Linked DNA regions of Oryzias latipes. The protein of the gene in region 2 interacts with the protein of the main gene of each other region in a pairwise test. Links are inferred from orthologs where the notes say so. Each region holds a gene or a part of one and is shown on either strand. Other genes may lie near its edges.

The links. The genes of interacting proteins can lie anywhere in the genome.
Region 1: the proteins of nckipsd (region 2) and stac interact in binary tests that used the Homo sapiens proteins (3 or more experiments, as listed by UniProt). The link is inferred for Oryzias latipes from reciprocal best matches to the Homo sapiens genes NCKIPSD and STAC.

The regions. Positions count from the first base shown.
Region 1 is NC_019880.2:9,979,427-9,983,547, reverse strand, and holds the start of stac (SH3 and cysteine-rich domain-containing protein), read right to left. Parts: upstream 2,801-4,121; 5' UTR 2,461-2,800; coding exon 2,347-2,460; intron 717-2,346; coding exon 684-716; intron 1-683. UniProt on the Homo sapiens protein: Promotes expression of the ion channel CACNA1H at the cell membrane, and thereby contributes to the regulation of channel activity.
Region 2 is NC_019863.2:1,724,630-1,730,569, reverse strand, and holds part of nckipsd (NCK-interacting protein with SH3 domain), read right to left. Parts: intron 5,639-5,940; coding exon 5,468-5,638; intron 5,264-5,467; coding exon 5,177-5,263; intron 5,078-5,176; coding exon 4,939-5,077; intron 3,571-4,938; coding exon 3,490-3,570; intron 1,458-3,489; coding exon 1,329-1,457; intron 1,212-1,328; coding exon 1,122-1,211; intron 1,040-1,121; coding exon 867-1,039; intron 796-866; coding exon 577-795; 3' UTR 1-576. UniProt on the Homo sapiens protein: Has an important role in stress fiber formation induced by active diaphanous protein homolog 1 (DRF1). Induces microspike formation, in vivo. In vitro, stimulates N-WASP-induced ARP2/3 complex activation in the absence of CDC42.

The DNA of each region.
Region 1 (4,121 bases), on a different chromosome or scaffold from region 2:
AGGCTTTTAATACTTTTAAACCAAATTTCTTGCATTACTTACTTTCTCTGATCTTTGATTGACCAAAGATTTTGATTGCTTTCACACTGCCACCAAGAGGCACCAGGATTCCCTTGCAACCAAACCAAGATTATTGTTTCCCGGCAGATCCGAGCTCATGTTTGTATCCACGGAAATGAACAGCAGCGTCCTGCAGGTGTCATGGTGAGTTCAGGAGTTCAGTCCCAAATAAACTCCCATGAGAACTTGACTGTGCCGACATTCAGCGTTTTTTGGAGCATTCGATGTATCTTTCAACAGGAAACCTTTTTACCTTGAACATTTTAAACAATTTCAACCAAACACATTTCTTTTATTTAAATCTAAAAAAGCTTACAAGAACCATGCTTTTTTGTTAGTTCATCTATGAGTTTATGGTAATCATGAAGGGTTAATGCAGATCGAGTGATCAAATCTGGCACAGCTGTTAATGAAATTATCCAGTCATTTACATAAATGTTTGTTCTTAATTATTCATGCAGCTCGAAACAGGAATTTCCCTCTGAATGAAGATGATGGAGCTCAATTTACATCAAATATTCATAAACGTTTGACCTAAGAGAAATATTTCTTCATCTGGAAGCACATGCAGGTCTGCTCTGGATGATGGACAAATTAATGTTTACTTCAGCGTGGGGGCTCACCTTGCGTTTTTGATGTTCGGGCCGCACAGTATTCTTAAAGGAGGAATGAAAATACAAAGAGCTTTACTACTACAGGTCACTTTATCATTCGTGAAATCTCATGACATGACACATTCAGTGTTTGTGAGGGTTTAAAAATCCTGGAGAGTCATTCTCTCATCGCAATTCAGAGGGCTGAGCAGCAAGTGCTCCACAAGACTGTCATTCCACTGGAAGGAGAACAGAAACCTCTTGTGTGTGGGAGTGGAGGTGACAAGAGAGCTTCTGCTGCCATCCCTTAAGGCCTGTTCACACCGGGACGAATTTCGCCGGCGATTTTCGCCGACGTTTAACGCCTCGTGACTAAACAAAGGGCACCAACGAGAGTGTGCACACCGACGCGAAAAAACGCGACGCGTTAAAGCGTCAAAAAAAAAAAAACGCCTCGGGTTCGTTTTTTTTTTTTGACGCGTCGCGTCGAAATCTACTCGACCAATGAGAATGGCGCTTTTGCTCACGTGTCTGGAGCTTCTGAAGTTACAGTAAAACACAACTTGGGGGCGCTCAAACACAAAACTGCCTTGCTGAGCACACATACCAGCGAAGAAGATAGACGCCAAGTAGCGTCTACACAGCCGCGAAGCAATAATGACGGACATTCTAAAATATCCCCGAACCAAGCACCAGTTGGACCTACTGGTGCTTGAAATATTCATGTTTTCGTTGTTTGATTCTGACAAGCGTGTAAATACTTGCTCTCTTCTTCTGAGTGAAAAGCGACTTTAAGAAGCGTAAAGTTGCGCAGCGCCACCTTGTGTACAGGAGTATTTCTGTTTTACATTAAGCGCCATCTAATGTCAGGGAATGAAATTGCATGTTCGCTCCACTCATCGTCAGCGAAAATCGCCTGGGTGTGAACACAAAAAACGTGGCGAAAAACGCTGGCGAATAACGCCTGGCGAATATTCGTCCCGGTGTGTACGGGCCTTTACCCTGATGACTCCTCCAATAATGTGCTGCTAATTAGAGTCTGAGCAACATGTGACCCACATGCTGAACTGCCTCCGGCTGCTGGAGATCTATATTGCATAGCCTGCATCAAGAGGGGACCATATTTGTGAATTTAGGCTACGAAAAGGTGCCTGAATTCCAGTGTTCATGGGTTTTTGTGGCTTTCTCTAAAATTTACAAATAAGAGAAAAACTTTAACAGAATTTGAGGCTTTGACAGCATCATTGCAAAGCAAATAAAACATAATTTAGGAAACTGTTCTTTTTTGCAACAATTCCGATTAAACAGCGTTTTTTAGAACTGTTAAAAATAAGTAACCCCTTTATTTTGGAAAGTAATACTCTTCCTTTAGCCAATGTATCTAACCTTCAAGTTTTAGTAGGTAATGCATGTATCATTATGTAGCAATCAAATTGTGAGCCTTTTTAGCCCTTTAAAGCAGTACTTCTTAAGATAATTTATCAAATAACAATAAAAAATATTAGTTTTGATATCGTTTTAATCATTTTCTAAAAAAAACAACAACTTTGTCATAACTATGAGTTTGACTTCTTTTAAACAGCTGAGACAATTTTTCAATCAATGTCACGTTGATTAAGTTGATATCCTATTCAGTTAAATGAGAGCTGAACTTTTTCTTTAGTTTATCAGAGAAACAGAGATCATGTCGTACCTTGGTTTCCTTCTGGCTGTTGCTCGTCGTTGGGGATTTTGGCGTCTCATCCTGGTCCCGGTCCTCCTCGTTGCCCCCGCTGTCGTCCTGAATCGTGTTTGCCGGCGGGATCATCCTCTCTTTTAATGATCTCTATTATTTGGAAGAAAAAAAAGGGGGAAATCGCGGCTGCTCTTCAGAGTTTGACTCCTGTTAGGACTGTTTCCATCGCTCTTGAAGTCACCCCGGAAAAAAAGAAAAACAGAAAAAAAAACAGAAGAAAGAAAAAGAAAAGTGTTATCCTCGATAAAAAAAAATGTAAACGTTTGGCAGGAGCTGGCCCATGGACTGCTTGTAGGAGTGACGTTTTATGGAGTTTGGTCAGGGTTCCTCTGAAATGCTCGCGTCTGTAGCGGCGCCGTGCGTAAATCTTCAAGACGTCTCCAAGTCCACGCTGTGCGCTGAGGCGCGCGCGTTGTAGTGCCAACAGTCTGAGGGGCGGAGAGCTTTAAGAGAGGCATCACCGGGAAGGAGGAGAGTTACCACGCAGTCAGAGCTGCCAAAGTTTAGCTCCAAGACGCACTAAAAATAAACAAGCCCGGCTTGATACAGACCTTCTAATCTGTCTAGGGGGAAAAACGGAGGGGAAAGAAACAATTTTGTAGAAAAATAATCAAATGAAACTTTAGATAATACATCAAATAACAGTTTTCACATTTATGGAGATTAAAACACTAAGATTCCTGCCTGTTAAAATAATCTCTTGCTCATTTTGCCATACCACCACCCCCTTATCCTAATTTCTAAGGCATGAGAGGACTGAGAAATACAGGAGCCATTCAGAGCATCTCTGCGAATGAGATGACTGAATTAGTGTACGTTAGAAGTTAAATTTAAAATAGACTTTTCTTAATTTTTCACAACAAATTCTTTATTATCAAACCTTTGTAAATACATTTTCTGTTCAGAGTAAACATGTCCAAACATTTCAGATAGGGATAGAAAATAGCTGAAACAATAATAAAAATTGAAAATGTTTTTTTAAAAACAATTGTACCATACATTAGAAATGATGCAAAATAACGATTGGTAAAATAAACCCTTATTGCATTTCTTAAGTGCTTTCCAGACCTCCCATAACCCTGTAAACCTATATGTACTTTGAATAAATAAAAAATGGATCATTTTGTCCCTCCCGATAGAGTGTAGGGGTAGAATTGGGATTTGCTGAATTTTCCAGCTCAAAACGTCATTAGTGTGAATTTTGTATTTATTTTCCCTCAAAAACTTGATATAGGTGTTACATTTTTAAGGAAATTGTTGTCCCACCAAAGCGTAATTACTATTTGTTATGTATGTGTTCACACTAATCAAAAACAATCTCTAGCAAATCCAAAACAGTTTTATTTTTCCAAAATGTGTGAAGAGGTGCAGGAATCTGTGTAATAACAAAACATCAAACACATGACTGTTGCCAAATAAGTTTTTTTGCTCCAACTTCAAGATATACTGTTCAGTCCAAGAAAAATGGCAAACAAACAAACCAGCCTGCTGTGAAAACATATAACGTGACAACACGTCATCTGCATAAATTTAAATATGGGGCTCATTCAATAAAACCTCTAAGACACCATATTATTTCCTCACTTGCATCAAAATTGAAGCAACTTCCCTCTCCACGTGGGAAAGGTGTGATATTCATTGTAGTGATGCATCACGCCTCCTCCCTGCCGTTTCTTTTGTGATGTCCTTGAAGTTAAATTGCAGGACAAAGGCGGCAGGCGCCAGACTGACAG
Region 2 (5,940 bases):
CAGACTCAAACGCAGCAGCGATCAGCAGCTTCAGATTTGTTTGGCTCCTTGCCTCAGAACACGTAAACTTCGTCATGGTTTCTAACTAACCTGACTTTAAGATATGAATGAAAAAAGAGAAGACATTAAGAGTGCAGCATCCAGCTAAGAAAATAATACTCTCAGTAACACAGTAGTTTGGTCCCAATTCAAGGACTAACAAACAGGTTCTCAGTCAGCACTGAACTCATGGCACCTCCTCTCCTCACAGACCTGCTTCACCCAAACCTTCACACTTCCCCTGAAATCAGCCAGAAGGTGATGAACAATGAAATCCTACAGAACACATGCAGTTAGTCCATGGAAACTGGATATGGTTATTGCTGGGAATTCACTTTGACAGCACATCAGGTGTTTGGCTTAAACTCTTGTCGTTTCTCTACTCTTTTTTTGTGCAATTGCAATATTTTCTATTCTTGCAAGCTATTTCGAAACGTCTAATCCAGAGATGAAAGTGACGGCTTCCAGGGATGAACGCAGATCGCCCCCTGCTGTGAACGGAAGCAGACTGCAGTGCGTGAGCATGACGCTGATGTGTTAGGCCTCACAGATCTGAGGGAACTCCGTGAAGATCTGCTGTACGATTAGCTTATCCATCTGCCTTGCTGTGGCGCTCCCTTCCTCTTCTCCCTCCTCCTCCTCCTCGGTGAGGATCCTCTGCAGGGACGCCTGCAGGTCGCGGAGGCGGTGCTGGTGCTCCAAGTAGTCCGTCGAGCGAATGATGGCGTGCATGAGAGAGAGATACTCCATCCTCAGCTTCACAGAGAAATGAAAAGGACTTCAGGCTTTAGCAGATGCGCTGATGCTAACGTGCCGATGAGGCTAACCTTGTCTCCAGGTGACAGATCCGATATTTGTCGGACTGCGATGTCGATCATCACCATCATGTCAGTGCGGTAGAAGATGTTGGCGGTCTCTGGACTAGCAAAGACGTCCTGCAGAAACTTGAGGACGGCGTGCGGCGCTGGTGGAGTGTGTTTGAACATGCACACCGGGTCGTCTGCGGAGCGCAGAGCAAAGGTTCATGGGACAGAGAAAGAGGTGGAGCGTCTGAAAAACTGGAAAGAACCGTTTGGATTTACCGCCTCTGTTGAGGAGCAGCAAGACTTTCTCCGTCAGGACTCTGACATTTTTCTGGTACACCTCCTGCATCAGCACATTGCTGCTGGGGACTGAAAAAGGTGGCAGGCACACTTTTAGAAATTATTACTACAATGTATGTCGGTTAAAAAACAAGAAAGAAACCAAAGGAAAAATGTAAAAATGTGATCTGAGGAGTTTGTTCTGACCCGTGTGGTGCAGGTTAAAGGCCAGCAGGAGGTTCAGGAAGATGTCAGGTAACTGCTCAGTAGGATCAGAGGGAAGTCCGTCCTCCACGACGCCCAGAACAAACCGGATGAATTCTGCATTCAAGTGCTCTGGAAAAAAAAGAGGGGAGTCCAAGCAATTCTCTTGAAGCTTTTCTTTTTCTTTTAATTACAACTTCCAAACAGGTTAATAGATACACGTTTGGACATTAATTAAAGAAAAAACCACAGCGGTCACAGAAATAACTTAAAGGGCCTGCATGATGCTATTTCTAAGCCTTTTAGAGTTAACAATATCCATGTTTATGATAATACATTACCTTTGGCACACAACAGAACACATTTTTTACTGAGTTCTTTTCCTCTCCAGAAGTAACAGGACTCGAGCTCTGAGGCCCCGCCTTTCTCTCTGTGTGGGTGTTGCCCATTTTATGGCGTCAACCTATAGTCGGCCTCGGCGGCGTGTCTGCGTTTCTCCCACAAAATCAAACATCCAAACTTTTGTAAAGATGGATGTGCATACTGTGCACATAAAAGGTAAGAGTTTTTGCCGATTTTGCAGAGAAAGTGCACCACAAGCACCGCCTGGCAGTGCAGACTCTTCCTGGAAGGGGCGGGTCCTCACTTTGTGATGTCACAATGTGAGGACCCGCTTGTTTTCGTAGATTGGGAGAGGCTGGTGCTCAGAGAGCAGGTTCTAAGGGGAACGCTCAGAAAAGTGTGAATGGATCCAAATACCGCTTTGGGGTTGTTTTTCGTGAGGAATGAACATTAGAAAACACTTTAAAGTTCAAAACATTAGATTTTGTATAAACATAAACAATGGAGGTCTGAGAGTCATTGGGCCATTTCTTTTGAACTGTTCAACATATTCATTAGATGTAACAAAATAACAGGAAAAAAATGAAAGTACTTTGACCACAAGGACATTTTAAAGAAAGGTGTGTCCTCTAAGACAGCGGTCCCCGACCTTTATGAAGCCACTGACCGGTATGGCGTCACTCAAAGTTTTCACGGACCGGTCTTTCAAATGTGGCGGAAAACTATTGTAGCAACGATGAAGGAGAAACGGAGACGTAACGAGATAAACTCTGAGCTTTTATTTTGACACGCACAGGTGTCATCATCCTCTCCCCTTCCCACACTCATGGTGCAAACAAGAAGTAGTGTCTATTAAATGTAGATTTCTTTTTTTGGAAGTGGAAGGCTCCTCTTCTGTCTCCTGGCTTTCCCTTTGGCAAAGAAACTTTCCAAAGACGTTTGTTTTTACTCATTTTGCTAGCTCCTGGTTTTTATTTTAGCAGTAACCTATCATGTGACCGAGAGGAGACCCTGGGCCTGCGTCAAGAGTGACATAGACTGATGGAACAGAGAATCAGGCAATTTTTCAAAATAAAACATCTTTCAGATTCCAAAATAAATAAAACAGAAGTCATGTACAGTAAGTTATTTATTCTTTCTTTGCAGCCCGGTACCAAAGGACCCAAGGACCGGTACCGGTCTGCGGCCCGGGAATTGGGGGCCGCTGCTCTAAGAGCTTCACAGAAGTCTCAAGCAGGATAGTCACATCTGTCTGAGGAGCTGAAACACGCCAAACTCACACATTAATCCCTTGTGCTTTCTTGTGGGGTCCAGATGACCCCCCCCCCCCCCCCCCTTCCATTGACGTGTTCTCCCTACCATGACAAAGGTGGATAAAGGTGGAAAGATTTCCTGTAATCCATGGACACCAGTGAAGATCACAAATAATTGAAGAAAAAAGGTTCAGAGCACTGTCTAGTGGGTCTAGATGACCCCACTCCCAACATAAAAGAGCCTAGGAAAGCACGAGGGTAACTGAAATGACCTCTGAATGCTTTGACAACAGATCAGAAGAGAAACGGAGTGGGACTTTAATATTCATTTAAGGGAATCAGCGTTTATGTTAATTTTAATGATGATTCTTTTGAACAAAAGTCTGAAACAATTTCAGACATTTGCATTCTTTTTGGTTTTTTAAAAGATCGTTTACTGATATTTCCATAATAATAGACATTTCCCAGACTTTTGGTGTTTTTCAACTTCAACCAACAAATTCTTTTCCTCCATCAGCTCAGATGGTGTGATTTCACAGAGAAAGTTAGGGGATTGCTTTTTTCCGTACCGTAGTGACGATAGGGCACCTGCTCCCCCATGGAGAGGACCATCGTAAGGACCAAAGCAGAGTAGCACATCTTCTGGTGTTCTGGTGGAAAAAAACAGACATTTGCAATTGACTTTCAAAAACAAATACTGATACTTTTAAACTTATGATCAGTTCAAATTTAGACTGTGAAGGGAATTGCCTAAAACTGCAGATTGGTCACATCTTCAGGGTTAGGGGAGTCGCTCAGAAAACGTTCTTGAAAATTCCAGGAATCAAGGAATATATCATCTTGTGCTATCTTAGATGACCCCCCCCCTTCCATTGACGTGTCCCCCCTACCATGACAAAGGTGGATAAAGGTGGAAAGATTTCATGTAATCCATGGACACCAGTGAAGATCATTGAAGAAAAAAGGTTCAGAGCACTGAAAAGGCTTACAGAAACATTTAGGAGTTAAAGGTATTAAAGAGTCTGTGAATCAAAGTAGCTTCTGTTCATGTTCTCACGCCTGAACAATCCATCAGAACAGGACGGGTTATCTGTGCAGAGGCAGGATTTTCTTTAGTCATCCGGACTTCCTTTTGTGGTGAAGAGAAGTGTGGTGACTGAAACTGAATGGCTGTTAAGGATGGGAGGAATCCCAGAGACGCTCAAACCAAAAATGAATTCCCTACATTTAAACAGAGTGGGATTAGAGTCATCTGTGCCTCCAGTGGATGTTTCTGGAATTGACATCTCCAGCTACGTTTTTGTGTTTTTTGGCTCTAGAAAGACCAGGATGCAAACTAAAGACGCAGCAGGTACCCTTCCTCACCAAAACACTGTATGTCCATCTTCAACAACAGTTGTTGTGAGGCCAACTTCAAGTTAACACACTATAATGAAATTATTGTTAATTCAAGTAAAGGTGTTCTTTACAAAATATTTGTTACACTGAAAGAATCTGGACTATCAAACAAACATAGTCCAGATTAAATTGTAGTGTTTTTTTTTTATCAACAAGGAATCGATGAGCAGTAAAGGCTTATGGGAGTCTGACTATGTTAGGGTTTTACAGGCTTGGCTAGTGTTTTTTCTTTGCTTTAATAAATCAAATCCTGATCAAAAACTACATTTATGAGTCATAAAAAGTCAATTTGATCCTCTGCATAATTCGAGTTTGACAGATTCCACAGTTTCCTGTTAAAACTGCAAAATAAAAGCCAGACAAAGTGGGAAACAGACGTTGCTTAGAAACCGGAGAGGCACAAAGGGCTCTGAAATGATTTCAGATCACTGTTCTTTCATTATTATGTGTTAATTTTGTTCAGTTTCAGTTGTTTTCCAGATGATTAAACTTTTATTTGAACTAGGAAACTTCAATTTAAATTGCAGCATTTTGTCTTCCACCTGAATAGAATGCTTGGATTATTCTTTATCGAACTCTTCCTAAATGAATCCCGGTTTCCCCGTGGACGACGCTCTCACCCTGCGTGTCCGTCTGGAGGTCTCTGGCCAGCTCCATGGGCAGGATGGAGTTCAGGAGGGTGGAGATGAGAGCGGCATCCAGGCTGCACATGGCGCCGAACACTTTGAGCAGCAGCAGGCGCAGAGACACGCGGTGCTCCTGCACGCACAGCAGCGGCCATCTCAAACAACAACATCACGCTTCCTCTGCAGGACCACAGTGCATTGTGGGAGGTTCTTAGTAAATACTTTCTCTCACCATCTGGTAATAAGAAACCAGAGACAGCACGTTCTCACAGTGGTTGGCCTTGCACATCCTCTTACACACCTCTGGATCAGCGTCCGTCTGAGGAGGAAACGGCAGCAACTGCTCACAAACTCACTCTGCGGCCTCATCATCATCATCATCATCATCATCTGCTTTGCCTCCTGTCTGATATATTCAGCTTCTGATCTGATCTGTGGATCCATCTGATCTGATCCGTCCGGGTCACCAAACATCTGGAACTTTTTGCAAACACCTGCGTCAGAAGTGGGTCGTTGTTGTTACCAGAATCTTCAGCAGCTCCTCCAGGTAGCAGGCGATGAGGGCGTGGTCTTCGTGGAGCGCCCAGCTGCGCTGCTGGGAGTCGTCACGGCGACGGGCCAGGTCGTCAAAGATCACCTCCAGGCGCTGCTCGTCATGACACACCTGACCCCGAGGGAGCGCGCCACCCAGGTCCTGCAGAGGCAACACACACATACACATTGTTAGCGCACACGCACACCACATCGCACAACTACACACACCAGTGCACACAAACACACACCCACAAAAGATCATGGCCTACACCCCTGAATACACACACAAATGCACACACACACACAGATGAAAACAACACATTTACACCCACAAGTCCAGACACACATTCACACAAACACATTGTTAGCACACACTCAGGGGCATACAACACTTTTTTTCTACACACATGCACCCACACATGGACACAAAGAAACAAACACACACACTGTTCTTACACACAA